2 linked regions of the Neodiprion lecontei genome follow. The protein of the gene in region 2 interacts with the protein of the main gene of each other region in a pairwise test. Links are inferred from orthologs where the notes say so. Each region holds a gene or a part of one and is shown on either strand. Other genes may lie near its edges.

Evidence for each region. The genes of interacting proteins can lie anywhere in the genome.
Region 1: the proteins of ralA-binding protein 1 (region 2) and AP-2 complex subunit mu interact in a two-hybrid assay, tested with the Drosophila melanogaster proteins (2 studies listed by BioGRID). The link is inferred for Neodiprion lecontei from reciprocal best matches to the Drosophila melanogaster genes Rlip and AP-2mu.

The regions. Positions count from the first base shown.
Region 1 is NC_060261.1:8,413,607-8,422,505, reverse strand, and holds AP-2 complex subunit mu, read right to left. Parts: upstream 6,151-8,899; 5' UTR 6,011-6,150; exon of another isoform or gene 6,007-6,010; intron 5,400-6,006; exon of another isoform or gene 5,285-5,399; intron 5,183-5,284; 5' UTR 5,145-5,182; coding exon 4,805-5,144; intron 4,697-4,804; coding exon 4,446-4,696; intron 4,314-4,445; coding exon 4,057-4,313; intron 3,940-4,056; coding exon 3,459-3,939; 3' UTR 2,766-3,458; downstream 1-2,765. Other genes in the region: peroxisomal membrane protein PEX14, read left to right, coding at 6,903-6,950, 7,171-7,497, 7,734-7,969, 8,077-8,248.
Region 2 is NC_060265.1:31,646,602-31,654,865, forward strand, and holds the start of ralA-binding protein 1, read right to left. Parts: upstream 5,348-8,264; 5' UTR 5,229-5,347; exon of another isoform or gene 5,120-5,228; 5' UTR 4,914-5,119; coding exon 4,829-4,913; intron 4,449-4,828; coding exon 4,313-4,448; intron 2,949-4,312; coding exon 2,701-2,948; intron 2,610-2,700; coding exon 2,493-2,609; intron 2,106-2,492; coding exon 1,961-2,105; intron 1,859-1,960; coding exon 1,678-1,858; intron 1,613-1,677; coding exon 1,298-1,612; intron 1,083-1,297; coding exon 701-1,082; intron 597-700; coding exon 346-596; intron 30-345; coding exon of another isoform or gene 15-29; exon of another isoform or gene 1-14. UniProt on the Drosophila melanogaster protein: Participates in receptor endocytosis during interphase, is also involved in mitotic processes when endocytosis is switched off.

The DNA.
Region 1 (8,899 bases), on a different chromosome or scaffold from region 2:
GTACATATTCATTGATGTATGTATTTAATTCTATAGAAATAACGATCATATATATAGTTAATTATATGCGAATAATGCAGAGGTGACAATTTTTTTAGTGGCTAAGTAATGAAGACAAAGTATTTCATTCAGTTTATTCTTAAACTTCGTCAAATTTTTTTTAACCCAGTTGAAACTTTTTCCTTAGCCATTCCTGCGTGCTTATTTTCTCAGAATACCATTTTAACTATTTTATCTATATAAATTGTAAATAGAAATTCGCAGTGGCATGGTTGTTGATTTCCTCCTTAAATTGGCTTGTAAGTCATACACAGGGTAACCCAGGACGATCGCCTTATAGGCTACCAATATGGTCCTCCTGAACATCCGCGACTGAAACGTTTTTTACTTTTGATCGAAAATTTGCCGTTTCCGATTTTATAGCCGTTTGAAATTGGCCAATCTGGTAGCATCTGAGGACTCAGAACAGCAGATGATCTGCTAGTCGCGTTCTCTTTCAGTTCTAAGCCATCAGATGCTACTGGAATAGCCAATTTCACACGGCTGTAATTTGCAAACAACAAATTTCCTATAAGAAATGAAAAACGAAAAATCACAGATTTTCCCAAAGAATACATTGGTAGTCTGTGGGGCGATAGTACTGAGTCATCCTGTATAATAGCTTGGTAAAATATAAATCAGTTGCCTGAATAATCCGGTCAGTTATGGTGTAGGATTAATTTCAGCGGTTTTCTTTGTTACAACTTGATGAGTATGTAACATTCAAATGCATTTTGACAATCTACTAAAAACAAAATTGCATTAGGCTTTGGAACAGATATCGTAAAACCTTTGCACAAATCCAATTACCAGTTATGTCGATATACTTCATTTTCATCACCTTGTGTGAAGTACTCGTGAATTACAGTTCTTTGGACTGTAGGTTATATTATTTACCAGAACCTCAATTAGAACGATCAATATTCCAATTATTGTATACAGTGTTAAAAAGTTCATCATCGTCATTTACCAGAAATCAGTGACAGTTCACTTAACATAATTTCTATATAATTCCTCTTGACAACAAAGAATTACTTTGGCGAAAAAGATATTCATAACCATCAACAAAATGTCATGAACATATACAATACTATATCATGGTTTTTATGGAAAGGAATAGTTTCGACAAATGATAGTTATTTTTCGAAAATGTTTCCTTTGCCCCGGAAGGACTGTATTTTTATAAAACACTTTGAAATCAACTTTTCAAAATTACAAAAATTCTAATCGAAAAATCAATTTGCTGTACTAACATTTGTGGCCTTCTAAATGAGCATATACTGAAAATTGCAATGAATATATATCTCGGCATAGTGAATATTTGGTTTATTTTTAGCGTGGCTCTGTTTATTCAGAATTGGATAACTGAACTGGTCAAAAAATCACAGCAGTAATCTAATGTACTCAGTTTACGGAAAGTGCCAACCAGATAAAAGATTGAAATAAAATTAATTAATGTAGAAAAATTATAATAAGTAACGAGACGTGTGCTTACAATTAATGTATATGTATATCTATTTATAAACTTTTGTATATAAACTGCTACTATCAGTTACTAATTCATCATAATCTCTCATTCAGACAGATTAGTCACTAACTATAACGATTCATATAGATTTCATTTCAAGCGTTCTAACCGAAATCATTTTAAGCCTGCATTCCAATAAAATGTTTCACTGCTATGATAACGACATGTTCGTTGAAACGTTAGCAGGTACGTTAACTTGTACTTTAAATCATTGTATTCACATAAAATCTAGCTACGCATTTAGTCAGTTTCAATAACTGTAACATAACGGATTCAATCGACTTCTAGTGTGACATTTCTTATCGTGAAAATCACTCGAAATTTTGCAAGTGATAATAGTTTACGTAATGTAATATGCATTATCCAAAAATAATCACTGGATTTTAGTTACTTGGTAGTTGAAGTGTTTTACGAGAATATCAGCCTGAAAAGTAGATGGCTTATTTGCCATTTAAATTCGTATAGGATCTCAAAGGTACAAACCTTTCAAATGAGTTGCACACAAGTCATTTTTTTTCAATTCAAAAGCCAATCTCTATCACTGTGAATCATTAAATAAGTATGCAAGTGTACTTTATTATGTGTTATTATCAATAGCTGAATTGAATTCTTTTATTCATATTTTGATTGACTAAGTTTGATTGTCAAACGTAAAACTGAAGAAGTCATATATCATTTACATTAAATGATATTATTATTTCTAACTCACATTTGATAGAGGTGTTCGTGATAAAAGAAATAGTACGCACAGTATAATTATTCAATAGATCACTGTAAAAGGGTTTAATTTCCATTCTGAAGCACATACTTATTTTCTTTCGTGCACTTTAAAGAGTTCTGTATTGAGTAGATTTTGTTGCAGCTCAAAAATTAGAAAATCATAGACCGAATTTCTGAGGGAATTTTATTAGCTGTATTTATTAGGAATGGAATGCTTGCTAAATTATCTTATTTGGAAATGTATATGTACTATAAAAACACGAAAATATTGTGAAAACAAGAAATGTTGAACACGTGAGGTTTGGTGATAAAATGAGATAGTTGCAACTGTGTAAAAAGACTAGAAGAATTTCGTCCAATTTATGTCAACTATCGATTAGTCACCAGTGACAGAGATCGTCTTTCAATATACGGTCAAACTACTTTTTACAATCTATCAACGCTTCGTGTACTCAATTTTTTAATAAAACCAGTAATGTTCAAGTATTGAATGTTATGCTTTATTTTTCTTATAATTTCGGGTATAACTGAAAATCAACTTAAACACTGCACTAACGTTTAATCATGCGGTTTGTGATACATATATACATACATGTATATACCTATAATATATCGATATAATATAGAGAGACAGAAGCTACATTTGACATACGCCTTCAAGTGACCATGGACCAGCCGGGCACATCTCTAGAGAAATCGTTCACATTTTAAATACATTTTCACGATATATTGGAGCATTATTTTAATCGTTGACGGTAAATTATGCCTCGCATAAAAATGCTCCCTGATTGAAATAAGCAGTTATAGGAAAAGTATTGTATTTTGATCAGAACGGTGGCATTGACATTTTTAAGGGCTGTTTAGGCGGAATGTTTTGTCCTTTTCTTTTGTGCGAATTCTTAGAGAATACCCCGAAAGACTGCGACATTGCTATAATTAATTACGCCTTATAATGTAATCGGATTAAAATCATTAATTTTTTGGATCTTTCCATACTTACAAGGGACGTTTGAACTTTGAACTTACGAGAATAAATACCAGCAACTTTTTAGTTTGTTTATATACCGCAAGTCCCAAGTGTAAAACGCAGCTATAGCCTTATTACATTTATGTTCATTACACTTCAAAGGTGAGATTACTTTTTTGTATTTTATCATCGACAAGTTGGTGATTAGCATCGTGTTTCATATAGGCCACTTCGTCCAATGTATCTGACCCATTTAATAACATCATGATCAGAATAATTCAGTTTAGATTCAAATACTTTCAAGTAACGAACTTTGAATCCAGAAGGGGCAAATGGAACCTCAAAGTTCATGGAAATTGGTGGTCGTGTCCACTTCTTCTTCGTATCAGTTTCTAACAGATCAATTTCAGCAGACAACTGCGTCTCTTTCATGCCAGCCATTCGCTTTATCTTCCATACAATTGCATTTTCCGATGCCTTATATTTTGCCTTTCCCTTTAAACATATCAGTTGTACGCCAGCTGTATTCAATGGCGTCGGAACACGGACCTCGATCTTTTGGCCAAGTAAAGAGGATTTGAAACTTGACTTGAGGACAGCCTTTACTTCCATCTTCGTGCGGCCGACTTCACGTACCAATGGTATAACGCGGAATGGCAGTGATATATCTTTTGTGGTCCGATATCTGGTACAACAATATTTTACATAATTATTTTTCAAGTTTTCAAATCACTCGATGTTTATGTATTTACTCATTGTTTGGATGCTACCAAAAGAACCGTTACTGGAACCCATCAATTACCTCATTAATTCGAATTCACCATCCGGTGGGATGAAACTGATGGAATGTTCTGTCTCAAACTTGGAAAGTTTGACACATTGATGGAACTGGCAATCATCGATAACCACCACAGGCTTGCCAGATCTAGCTCCAGGGTCATCACCCGTGCTACCTAAACTACCACCTCCTCCTTTCACTCCTTTTGCATCCATCACTATTTTATCATTAATCCCGAACTTACACTCTGGCATTCCTGACAAGTAGGACTTCATCACTACCTGTTTGGGAGAGAAAACTTTTAAAATTAATAACATATTTGAATAGTTCCATCAATGCTAATAATGTCAAACATCAAAACGGTTTTTAAATCCTTAGGCATCTGAAAAAAGATGGTAAGAATGTTTGCTAACCTTGCCAGCCACATGAGCGCTGAGAACCTGGCCCTGGGGGCTCATCAATAAATTGACGTATTCAAGAACATCAAGGAAAAGTTCATTGCGCCTATATTTTATTCCTTCTCGTCGCCATCCGATTTGACCTGTAACTTGGGAAGTAATCTGAGCCTGTTCTTCTTTTGTGGCGGACTTGACGCCTTGCTGAGTGATGAAGGTTTTCAGTACCCCAGTGTCACAGTTTTGTGGGTAACCAAAATCCAGAATTTCTAAAGAATCGATAGAAAAATAGTCATAATCAATGATTATGACCAAATACCATTTTGTGCATGATTTTAAGATGAAACTCATACGATGGAATAGGCAATTTTTTTTACCATCAAGCAGTTCGTAAATCAGGACAAAGTTGTTCTTAATGTTTTCCTCAGATATTTTGCCAAAATACGACTGCATGACTTCGATGATTTTCAATAAAAACTCAAAGACCATAGCAGCGTTGACATTTTGCTTGGTAACAGCAGCCAGCCAGATATTGGCTCGTTTAATATGGAAGAACGACGTCCTGGCAATATTGGTAACTGGCGATCGTACTTGCTGCCGAGCGTGAATAACATTGACCCTGAATGCATCGACTGCATTTCTGCCAATATCGTCACGATATACTCGAGAGATCAACACCTCTCCCTTATGGTTGTAGACAAACAGTCCCCCGATCATCTTGACGGAGGCTGTGAATTACTTTTTTGGTTACGCACCTGTAAATTCATATATAACTAATCAGGGCAGAGTTACGTAAAAATTTATAATTCAACAATTTATGATGATTCAACACTTAATATACTAATTAGATAGCCTACTTTGCATTCGTTTGAATAAATACAATCACAATTTTGGCCCTCTAGTTCTTGACCTTCCAAAGTCATTAAGTAGTAATTGAGATGCATTCTAATAGAGACATGCACTTGGTATTTTCACAGTGCCGAAACTGGTCGATTACCATTTTTCTCACACTCAGGGTAGTCAATTGTCTAAAGGCAAGCAGCCTACTTGTGATTTCGATAAATTATCCTATGTATTTGTCACAGAATATTCGTTGACACCGTGGTCAACATTTAATGCTGTTGCTTGTAGCAGTTCGGTGTTGAGCACTTGTTCAAAGAGCTCGGATAGTTGTAGAGAAGTGAAAACGGAAACCGATCAATGAATTGTTGGAAGTGAGAACCGAAAATTCGCGTACAGCTCGTTCGGATCTGTGATAAATAATATTTTTAATCAGTCATGAAACGACCAAGACTTTATTTAACGTAGAAACTGGTTAAAAATGACGCTTGATGACCCGATAAACGCCCACCGAGCGTCCGACAATCTAATGATGGTTCAAAACGTCATGCAACACATCCAAGATCCATCTCTACGGGCGAACGTTCTTCGGACCGTTAGTATTATCGATTGACAAGTGGACGATGCTTAATTCAGAACAGATTAATTTTTCGATGAGATGTAGAGTTGTGTTAGCCGAGGAAACAATTGAGAATCAACCATATAACAAAGCAATGAATTATAATGGACACTTTCTTACTTACGCATTCAGACGACTCAAGAAAATCGTAGAAATTACGCTGAAGTGCAGCTGTTCAGCGGGCACACAGAACTGCGAATGCGGCAGCGACACCCACTTTTTCCTACTACGGTTGTCAGTGATCGTCACTGGATGATACCGTGTAGGCATACCGGCTCAATGATCCAACAGGTTGAATCGAATCGATGAGTGTACCATGTTGTCAACCTGACGTAAATTCAATCGATTAAATAGCACGGAACAAACCAATCGTATTTCTCTTTCTTAATTATTTGTCAACAATAATACAGTAGTTAATTTGATCTTGTTACTTGAGATTTGATTGAAGTCAACGTTGAATACGATATACCTATATGGGAATTACTATTATAAGTGTATTGGGCTGAAAGAAAACAAGATATCTCAACACGTCTTTATCTACGACATTGCTCATTTATTTGTTTTTAGCTTGGAAAACATTGGTAAACAAAGGAAATGAAAATATTTCACAACTGATAAGGTGCGCGTAATATCGGGAGATCTAGAAGCATAGAAGAGAGACTATCTCTTGCCGAGTATTTCCGATTGCCTTTACCGATCATAATTTCATTATTTGAAAGAGTCAGCGATTTGTTTATAGTTTCTTGTATTTTCGGGATTGTTTTTAACCTTGACCGTGTTAATCTCATACTGACCAAAGAATTTTTGATGTATCCGTATACCCATACTATTATGTATCAGTGGATAATAGTATAAATCGTGCGCTTGCGTGGAATAGACTGCACTTTTTCTGTTGTGTTCATTTTGCAGTGAACGAAAAATCACATCTAATTACCGTAATACATACTTATTAGAATCTGTTACATGAGTATGAAGCTACGTTTATCGGCTAGCAAAAGTGAGTTATAATCGACGCGATGGCCATTGAGGAAAGTAATAATAGCGTATCTTTGCGGGATGAGCTCGTAAGTACTTTTCGCTACTTTAGGTTAGAATATCCGGGATTTTATTTCACATTCGAAACAATTTAATTAAGCATGATGACGACACATTTATTCAATTAATGAAAACACACAAGCACCACTCGATTACCTTTATAAATTCACCAACACTTCGCTTTATAGCTGTTCTTCAAATTTTTAACAACTAAATTACTAGCTGCTTCTCTCTTTCATCTCAATCTAGGTCAGGACTGCTGTAAAATTTTTACAAAATCCCAAGGTAGTTCCGAGTCCTTTAAAACAGAAACAGGAATTTCTCCGAAGAAAAGGTCTCTCGGAAAACGAAATTATTAAAGCATGTGAAATCGCGGGGGGGGACCAAATTGTCACAGAAGTTTCGTTTACTCCTAATCAAAAAGAGTTCACAGTTGTTCCTATGAATCATGGTCACAGCTACCCAAATTACCAACTACAATCGTATCGTCAAACAACATTTCAAAGAGTCAAAGAAATTCTAAATACCGTTGCTCTGTTTGGAACTGCAACTTATTGTATATATTGGTTCTACAAGGTGAGATTCCGCTCCTTATGCTGCATAGAATATTATATGTACTATGTTAGTTTCGAGATTCTATTGAAGATATAAAAATTGCCAAGGTTCTACCTAAAAGGCTCAAATGGAAATGGTAGTAATTCTGTTTCAATTAAATGAACCTGCAACAATTTAACCTTGTCATTTCTTCGAGTTACAAGATCCATTATACTATTTAAAAGAATTATCCTAATTGACTTTCAATTGTATTTTAGAAATTCATAGAGCCTTATTTATTTGGACGCAAGAGTCGCAAAACTGTGGAAGAATCCGTAACGGACTTAGACAAAACTATTAAAACCTCATTGAGAGAAATGAAAGACTCCATTTCCAAGGTAGAGATAGACGTCAGTAAACTGACGGAAAACCACTCCATCGATCCTAGCATACCACAGCTCGTTCAAGACTTGAAACAGGACTTAGCCAGTCTCAAGGGTCTACTGCTATCAAGGTACAGCAATGTCTATTTTGCAGAGTAAATAGTGATTTAGTTTTGTCTGAATTTGTTTTGTTCGTAAGTTGTGAATAATATCGGAATTACATTTTCTTTACCAATAGGAAACAATTTCCGAGTGTACCGGCATCCATTCCAACTTGGCAGCTAGCAACGTCGACAGTAAGAGAGAAAACAGGCGATAGAGAAGATCTAGATGATGCAGGGAGTGGTAGCAGCACCAACAACTCCGATAGTTCTTTGGAGATGATAAGAGAAGATCCTCCAAAAAATTGATTCAGCCTTAACCGAACTTGTGATTTTATTTCATTTGTAGATTTGCTGTACATGCCAATCATGTGGTTATCCTAATGTGTATAAATTTCGATCGATACAAGGACAGCCAATATAAGTTATGCTAACGAGTACGGATCACTACAATAAGCTGTTGAAACTCAGATCAATATCTTTTTTTCTATAAGGAACAAGTTTAGATAATTTCTCAATTTCCCCAACAATTGAATGAAAATTGTTAATCAGGAGGCAACTGCTGAGTCTCAAATACAATGTTTCATTACATCAATTCTTTTACAATTATGGTAGACTTTTTTACACGCATTATTATGGATGTTGGTACGATCATTGTTTTGTACATATAAGAAAAGTGTTTCATTGTTACGCAGGTTTATTGTTAGTATATTACTCATACAATTCAGTCATACGATAAATTGCCAAATATACGAATAAAAACAGATCGAATCATTGTTGTTTATTCAAGAAAAACAGCCGACATACGATTCGGCACACGTTTGTATATGACTTATTTAAATACCCAGTTATTTTGTCACTATGATCAAGAATTTATTATTAATAATAATATATAATTAATAATCATAAATCTATATATATTATCCACGTAGATATATATATATACACGTGTATATATAT
Region 2 (8,264 bases):
ACTTATTTAGTGTTTCATTTCACGCAAAACTAAAATTTTTATGACCTTGTTATTAGAACTGATAACTTTTTCATTCATGATTCATTCAGGTTTATTTATTTATTTTTTATTTCTTGATCAAAAAAGACCTTTGAAAATTAGAAAGTGTTGTATCGCTTCGGAAGAACTACTTGTAGGCTACAAATTACGCAGTGGTATATTTCGTTGCAGAAGTGCTGCTTCAAAAATTTTCAAATGCGGCAACTTTGAATGCGAACCCTTGTATGAATTTTCTTGGCATTGACCAGAAATTAATGTTCTTGTATACTGTATTAAATAAAAGCGACTATGAAATGTAATTTTTACCTCCAGCATCTGATTTTCCAGAACAAGTTCAATTATTGCAACCCTATCGACTTCTTCGGGGGTACAGGGGACTGCTATGGGCTTACTTCTTTCAAAGTCCTTATTCGTCAAAAGTTCGGCCAATCGTTTTATTTCACCTCGCTCTTCGGCAATACGCGATCCTAGTGATTCCTGCATTGCTAATAATTCGCCATAGATCAGCCGTTCTCTCAGTTCCTCGTCACTATCGAGAGATATCTGTCGAGCTTTCACTTTAATAAAACAGGTATAAATCACATTTTCTAGTGTGCGATAAACGTCATTTGGAATTAATATTTTTAACAAATACACGTTTCAATCAAAATATTATACATACAAATTTGCAAAGTTTCCCCACTGTTTCGATTAACTACTTCGTCTGGTGTTAGTTCATTAGCTGATGCATCCAGTTTTTCTTGGATGCATTTAGTTTGCGAAACGTGTTTACTTGCAGGCAGCATACCTAATTTCTCATTCACTTCAGGTGTATCACATTGGTCGTTTGATTCGTCCATACTTTGAGAACAACTTTCTTTATGGGCTACAACAGCCATAGGCAATGGCTGATAATCAGCTTTGATGTAACTATTATCTTCCTCAGGAACGATCTTAGCTTTGTGCAAACTGATATCAAGATTACCCTCGTCGCCTAACTTCAAATCTTCTTCTAAACTTTTGTGCGTTGATCCCTCCAATTTTTGCACAGTTTTGTATTTTCTCTACAAGTGTAATAAGTCTACAATCTGTACTACTATTTTCAAACCTACAGGATGAGTGTCATTTCCAAAACAAACATTTCACAAACATTCCAAACTAAGAAATGAATATTAATTTACTTATACTCATTGGCTAGTTTGCTGATACTGAGATTTGATTAATATTCTTTTCCTTTCCGGAATCTGTATTTTTTTCGTGAAATTGCGAAACCTCTCACCTTGAGCTGCGTTATGAGACGCTGCACTTCCCACAATTGTTCCTCTCTCAATTTGGTTACAAATCCTGCGTTCATTTGCATATGAATTTGAGACAGCAATGATTCTTGTTTGGCCAACTCGGCAGCTATGGCATCCATAGTGTCTGGTAAGTTTGGACTACCAGAGGCCAATGGTGGAATATACTTGGATAATTCAACATTTGCAAATAATGCTTTGCAATGTAACAGCAATGCCAAGAGTAGTCGATGGCTCATTTGCAAAACTGGACTCAGTGTCATTGCAATAGACTGAGCATTCATTTTGGTAGTTTTTTCCTAAAATTTAATAAGAACCTTGTTTCATTGAGCATTACAAGGAATATTTACTCCTGAACACTCACATGTGCAGTGAGGTGATCTAAATGCAAGATCACCCATGCCAAAAGAGTCTTGTTACACTTGGGTAGTTGACTTATCAAATCAATTAGCTGCGTTTCTCTCAAAGCAACTTCTTTCAATGAAGCTGCCTGTTCAAATCGAGATACAACTTCGCCATTTTCAAGTATTGGTTCCGGCAACTCTCTGCAAGGTAGGAGACAGAAATCCTGATTACTCCACGTAATTACGTACCTGGTATATTTTCATTTTTATTGAACAATATTTCAGTCAGAATTTAATTACAACCTGAGAAATAGTATCAACAAACTTGTAGCCACCATGGGATCAAACTCTGACATATCTACTACTTCTCGTTGATTGTAAAGTTTTCGCAGATGTTGGACCTTGGATTTTACTGCTGAAACTTTGTATAGTCCATCCACAGTCATACCTGGAAGCGATAACGAGAAAATTTGCAGATACATGTAAGCGTTGCAGTGTCAGGCCATTTTGAAATTTCGACTGGAGAATACCAGAGTTGATCAGCTACAGATAATTTTTTTGTCGCTATAAACGGAGTGCTCGAGCGGACCTGAGCTATATGATGTTCTCTCCCTAATAGACAATAATAGACTTGAATAATTGAATAACATTTATATGTCACTCAAGTCGATGATTACACAGGAGACTTTTAAATGCCTCTTCTAGACCTTGATATTTTTATACTGCAAAAGCACTTCCACACAAATTGACCATCAAGATGAAGTACATGAGCCTGGCCGTCTAGCCAGTTGTCACTAAATATTCAAAGATATAATTATTGATGCTATTGACTTGCCATATTCTTCAATGTAATCAATGCAATTTCTTACAACCAATGGAAGCTCCACTCCGTCATGACAACGGCCTCTTTCCACAGCCATTTGAAGAGCAACGCCAAAGATTGGTTGTTCTTCTGAAACATGTTGATCAATAAAGATTGATTAATTTTTTATTGGTATATCACCCCAATCACAGGGCTTCAGTATTCTCTGCAGTTGTCTTACCACCAATATCAACAGTTTCTTCCCAATGTTTTCCTTTTTTGCGATCCTTCAACTTTTGTTTAGATTTCTCCTTATCTTTATCTTTACGTTTCTCTTTGTCCGTATCCTTGTCGTCTTTGTCTTTTTTTTTCCTCTCTCTCTCTTTATCTGTTTCCTTTTCCTTACCATCTTTTTCTCTGGATTTCTCTCGCTTTTCCTTCTTAGATGGGAACTTGAATGTTTTAGACTTTTTTGACTTCGATGGACTCCTAAGAAATGTATACATTAAGAAGTACAATGCGTACAATATGAAAAGATGGCCAAACACATTTATCTTTCGTTAGATATATATACATATAAATTCAAAAACGTTTGTGTAGGATGGGGATTTATAAGTCCCTTTTACATCTATTTTGTAAATATATCGCAAGTCAATAGATGCGATACGCAGAAGCCGTTAACTCATTTGTAATAGTCTCAACCATATAAGATACTAATTTCATATCTAAACCTACAAGAACTGTCTTGAGTGAGTGTGCATAGCTAAATAACATGTGGAAATGTTATTAGGTAAGAAATTAATTGCTTGTCTCTTGTACGTAGTAAATAAAAACTTTTATCACAAAATATAGGTTTGTTAAGTAAATTAGAGCAAGTATAATCAACAAAATTAAGTCACCGCAACTAGAAACAAAGCAGTTGATAGACATATTCGTTAAGCACTCTTATTTTTTTCAAGCAAAAACAGAGTAGCTGGGAATAGTATTTACGTAAAGAAAATATGAGGGCCATGCATCTCTGAGTGATGACAGAAGCTATTAATTTCAGAATCTCAGCCAATCGACAGGCAACAGCTAATGGGCTGCAAACGTAATTAGATCTACCATGCTAATGTTGATTAAGAATATGTAATAGTGAGCACCCTTACAAGGTTTAGCGTGATAGAAAAAATTCACTAAAAGCGATTATGAGGAATTACGGAAGATTTCAAGCAAAACAGAAATCAGTAATTGTAATAGTAGGTTGTGCACCAAAGAAGCAAAGTAGATCTTTTCACGCCAAGCACAAGTTTGCAATATGAGATGTAAGTGAGCATGTTTACGCAAGCCGAAGACAAATATTGCAAATACGTGAGTCAAAATATAATTTCCCTCCATGGTGCACATAATACTTTACGTAATAGAAGTGTGGCTCACAATTTTTATTTTTAACCAAGTACGAAAAAGAGCACTTTGAAATACTAGGATGTTTTTGTGTACTTTTACATACTTCGATGCTCTTTATTTATACTGTCGTAAAAGTGATTGCTTTACATCCGGAAAAGACGTAAAAAAAAGACGCGTAATCCATATTAGTATTATATAAGACACTTTTGTTGCCTTCAATACATCTTCGCAAATGTACATCATTCAGCGATTTGAATGATAATTATTGAAATTAATTCCGTGGACAAATATGTGTTGAATAGCAGGCAACAATTCAATAAACTGAGATATCTGATTGAGAAAGTATCATAATTAGAGATAACATCTGATAGATGTTGTCTTCTATTTTTTCCATGATATACTAAAAAAATGAATATAATTTCTGCATGAAAGGCATTATTACTATAAAGGCATAAGTATTACAATACTTAGTTTCGATGTCTTCTTCTGGGGAGCTTTCACCCTCTAGCGTAGCATATCCACGATCCTTTTTGTCTTTTTTGTCCTTACGTTTGCCAATGAGAAGTTCCTTCTTAGACGGCCTATCGTGTCCATCGTCACTAACTTTCCAACATAAATATTGTTTGAACTAGTGGTTTGTTTGATTTTTAAAACTATAAATTTCAAGTCGAATGTCAGACACTACAGGTGTCATTAAAAATGCTACGCTTCAATACTTAGAACTACACGCAAGTCTCGTGAACCTTGTGTAGCTCTACACAGAAGTTTGGCCTACATGTATATGTCCGTTACAAGTTATATAACTCGATGAAGATTTATTCAACTCTCGAGAAAATTGGGAGATTTATGCCGAAATAGGAACATAGTTTCCACAGGAGGAATGTAATACTATCGCGCGCGCGCGCGTGTGAATATGCGTGTGCGATTTCTGCAAGCAAAAAATGAGCCCGTGCTCCTAGGATGAAGAATCATTAATATCTTACAGTCGCTTTCATTGCTCTTTCTCCCGGATTCCGAAGCGTACAAGCCAGGAAAATCTTTTTCAACATCAGGGCTTTCGAAATCCATCTTTATACAATTATGACTTTTCTTGTAAACGTGTTGACTGTTTGAGAAATCTGCAACCTCCAGGCATGTCGCAATATTCGACAGTTCTTTGTTCCGTCTTTTCCTTCAAAATGATTGTAGGTTTTCACTTGTTTGACAGTAGCTTGACATTGATTGACGGATGCAACATAGTCAGTTTGGTCAGGTTTGGTCGGTGAACAGTGAATCTACAATGAAGACCGTTGGTCAGTCAACGTGAAGATGCAGTTCATACTCTACTAAAGGGCGCTGGCCTTATGGGAGATGGTGTGTCAGGAAAATTGGATGGCAAGTTACCGACTAGGGCCTCGTATAAAGGTCGGACAATTCCAATTTAGAGGCCCTATTTGGTAGTAGGTTTGTTCGTGCTAGCTACACTTTCTACACTTTCGTGGGGGTGTACACTTGCGCGTTCGTTTTAGCGGACGTGACGTCGGATGGCGCTGTTTGTTTTACAAATGTCACTAGACTTTCGTTACACTTTGGCCGTGTTCGAAAATTGACTGACACCACTGTCGGCAATCTTTTATCTCATTTGCGCTGCCGAGTTCATGGACAGCTCTGTCTCTTTCCTAGGGAATTTTTAGTACTGGCAGTCAATTTACGAACACGGCCTAGGTTTGTTCGTGCTAGCTATACTCTACACTCGCGAGTGTAAAAAGAACTAGGGTAGTGTACTAGGGATTGCTGAGGAGTGTGTAACGTCCGACCGGAACGTCCGTATGTTTTATCGATTATTATTACTGCATGTTACTTTTATCAACTAACCAAACTCTAAGTACGAGAATCTTGTAACCATAAGAAATTAAAACAACTGTCTAACTATTTGGAATACCCCTAGATGGAAATAACTATGAAATTCACTAGCCAAGGCTTACAAACCATGTTACGAGATCTTCGTACTACAGAGAACTATAATATTATTATACGTTATTATATATCACTATCACATTAACACTATAATTAACTAACACAATTATACCCAATTATTATATAGCACTCAGCAATGCCATTTGTGCATTCGGAGCTGAGAGCTATACTTAAGCAACATACGCTTTACTATATAGCCTGGAGTATAGAAGACTGTAAAACCATAGATAAATGCATAACCAATATAATGTAAAGATAGCACTGCTGCAATAACCCATAAAACCAGAGACTGCAAAACCATCAAACCGTGAATGCTAATTACCCAGCATGAACTATACCTTCTTCCGCAACGCCGTATTGTAGGCAACACGCGCAACGTTTTGAAGGCAATGCAGATCTCCAATGTGGAGCCATACAGAGCCTTACCTAGAGAATACATTAGGAAACTTACCGACGAAACGAAAACGTTCTAGAAGCTTCCAAGCCGATTTATATCAATATAAGAATTAACAACTACAGAAGGGAATCATATACAAAAGCACACATGTAAACCTGCTCTAAAGCTATGAATCATCAAATTACTAAGTACCCTAAATCTGTTAAGATAGTTATAACACAAACAACTAAAGATATTCGCAGCAGCGTGATTCTAATAATGCTAAACAAATAACAAACTATGTTCATAAACAATTGCTATTGTACTCCAGATTAACAACGACAGTAGTCGACTTTAATACATATGCAATTCTATATAGATACAACTATAAAACTAACAACGACAGTAGTCGACTATAATACATATACAATTCTATATAGATATAACTATAAAACTAACAAACGACAGGTAACCAAAATGAAATATGGGCTTTGTAACGAGCAAGATAGCAAAAACATTCAGAGGTAGACAGGTAGTTAAGTGGCTGACGGGCGCCACAAAGGGGCTGGCGCCACAAAGGGGGCTGGCGCCACAAAGGGGGCTGGCGACACAACGAAAAGCTCACGCAGTTCGGAGAACTACGGAACCAAGTCCACGCACCTACACCACCGCACCAAGCAGCGATATACCATACGTAAAAACCTACAATATAGTAATAGCTAAAGAAATAAGATCACAGGCGTGCATGCGGCGAAGATGTCGTGCCCTAATTAGAATTCCTAGAAAAGAGGGGAGGTGCGCAAAGGCGACCAAAAAACTAGAGAGGGGGATCGTTCTGCGCAACGATCGACCCCTATAAAAAGGGCGACCGATCACTCGATCGCTCTCTTGTGTTTCTACCTCCAGATTCGTCATCTAGTTCCGGTACAGTCTCGCGGTAAAATCCTTTAGCCTTTTGCATTAAAACTTTCATACAACGTTACTCTGCCCAAAAGTTCAGCGAGCTTCAACTCCATTTTTACTAAGTCTAAGATCTTACACTGTGTAACTCTGCGTTTGTGACTTTTAAATATCAAACTTATAAAATAAACCAAGTTAGTCAAAATATCCAAATATATTAAAGTCAGTTATTCCACTAAAACCTCTCACCAATCTACAAGTCATCGCATCCAGAATACTCTCAAAAAGGTAAGCCAAATTAAATCTTTTATCCAACAATTTCTCCCTCTTCGGTTCGTTCGACTAGAGCGACAGAATGCCCGTTGTCCGGTGTATTTCAATACTTAATCGGTAATTGGTGACCCAAACTACTGATGTGAGTCTGGCTGTAACTGTGTGTGAATGTTTCCGGTGTCTAACATCTGGAGATTTCCACTAGGTACCGTTCCGACGTCACATATCAAAAATTTTCTGGTGCATCGGCCGGGAAGACCAAACGTTATAATCGCGAAAAACTTTTTGTGACGCGAGTAGCGACCGACGGACGGCGGAATTTTTGCGCGCTACCAACACGAACTGAAAATCACCCTAATCTCGCTCGATTTAATAAAATGACTAAACGAACTCGAATTTGAATACCCGTTAACTCGCCAAAATCCTAAAAATCAATGAGTCAATCAAGAATTTTTCCATCCGCTCTGGAAATTTCCCATTCAAATATTACTTCAATATCGCAACTACTGGGATCTTGTATCGCCGAGATCCCTCGTTTTCATCGAAATACTCTGTCGAACCAGGATTTCAACCTTTAATCGAAACCTCTGACAAATACCCTTTGTTCTCATAACGAATGCTCCCAAAATCGAACGAAATAAACGGAGGAAAACGCGGAACCATAGCGAAGCTTTGGGAACAATATACTCAGCCGATTATATTAAGCGATCCGCACGAAATCCCGGACTCTGTAAAGGAGCCTTATCTCAATAAACCGCAGAATTCTAACCACACCATCAGAACTTCTGAAGATATTTGCTATTGCAAGGGAAATACAGAAGAACGAATAAAAGAAAGAAATAAGCTGTTCGAGCCCCCAACGCGACCCAGAACGATTAGCGAAGAAGACGCAAGGATTAGGAAAAAGGCGAAAA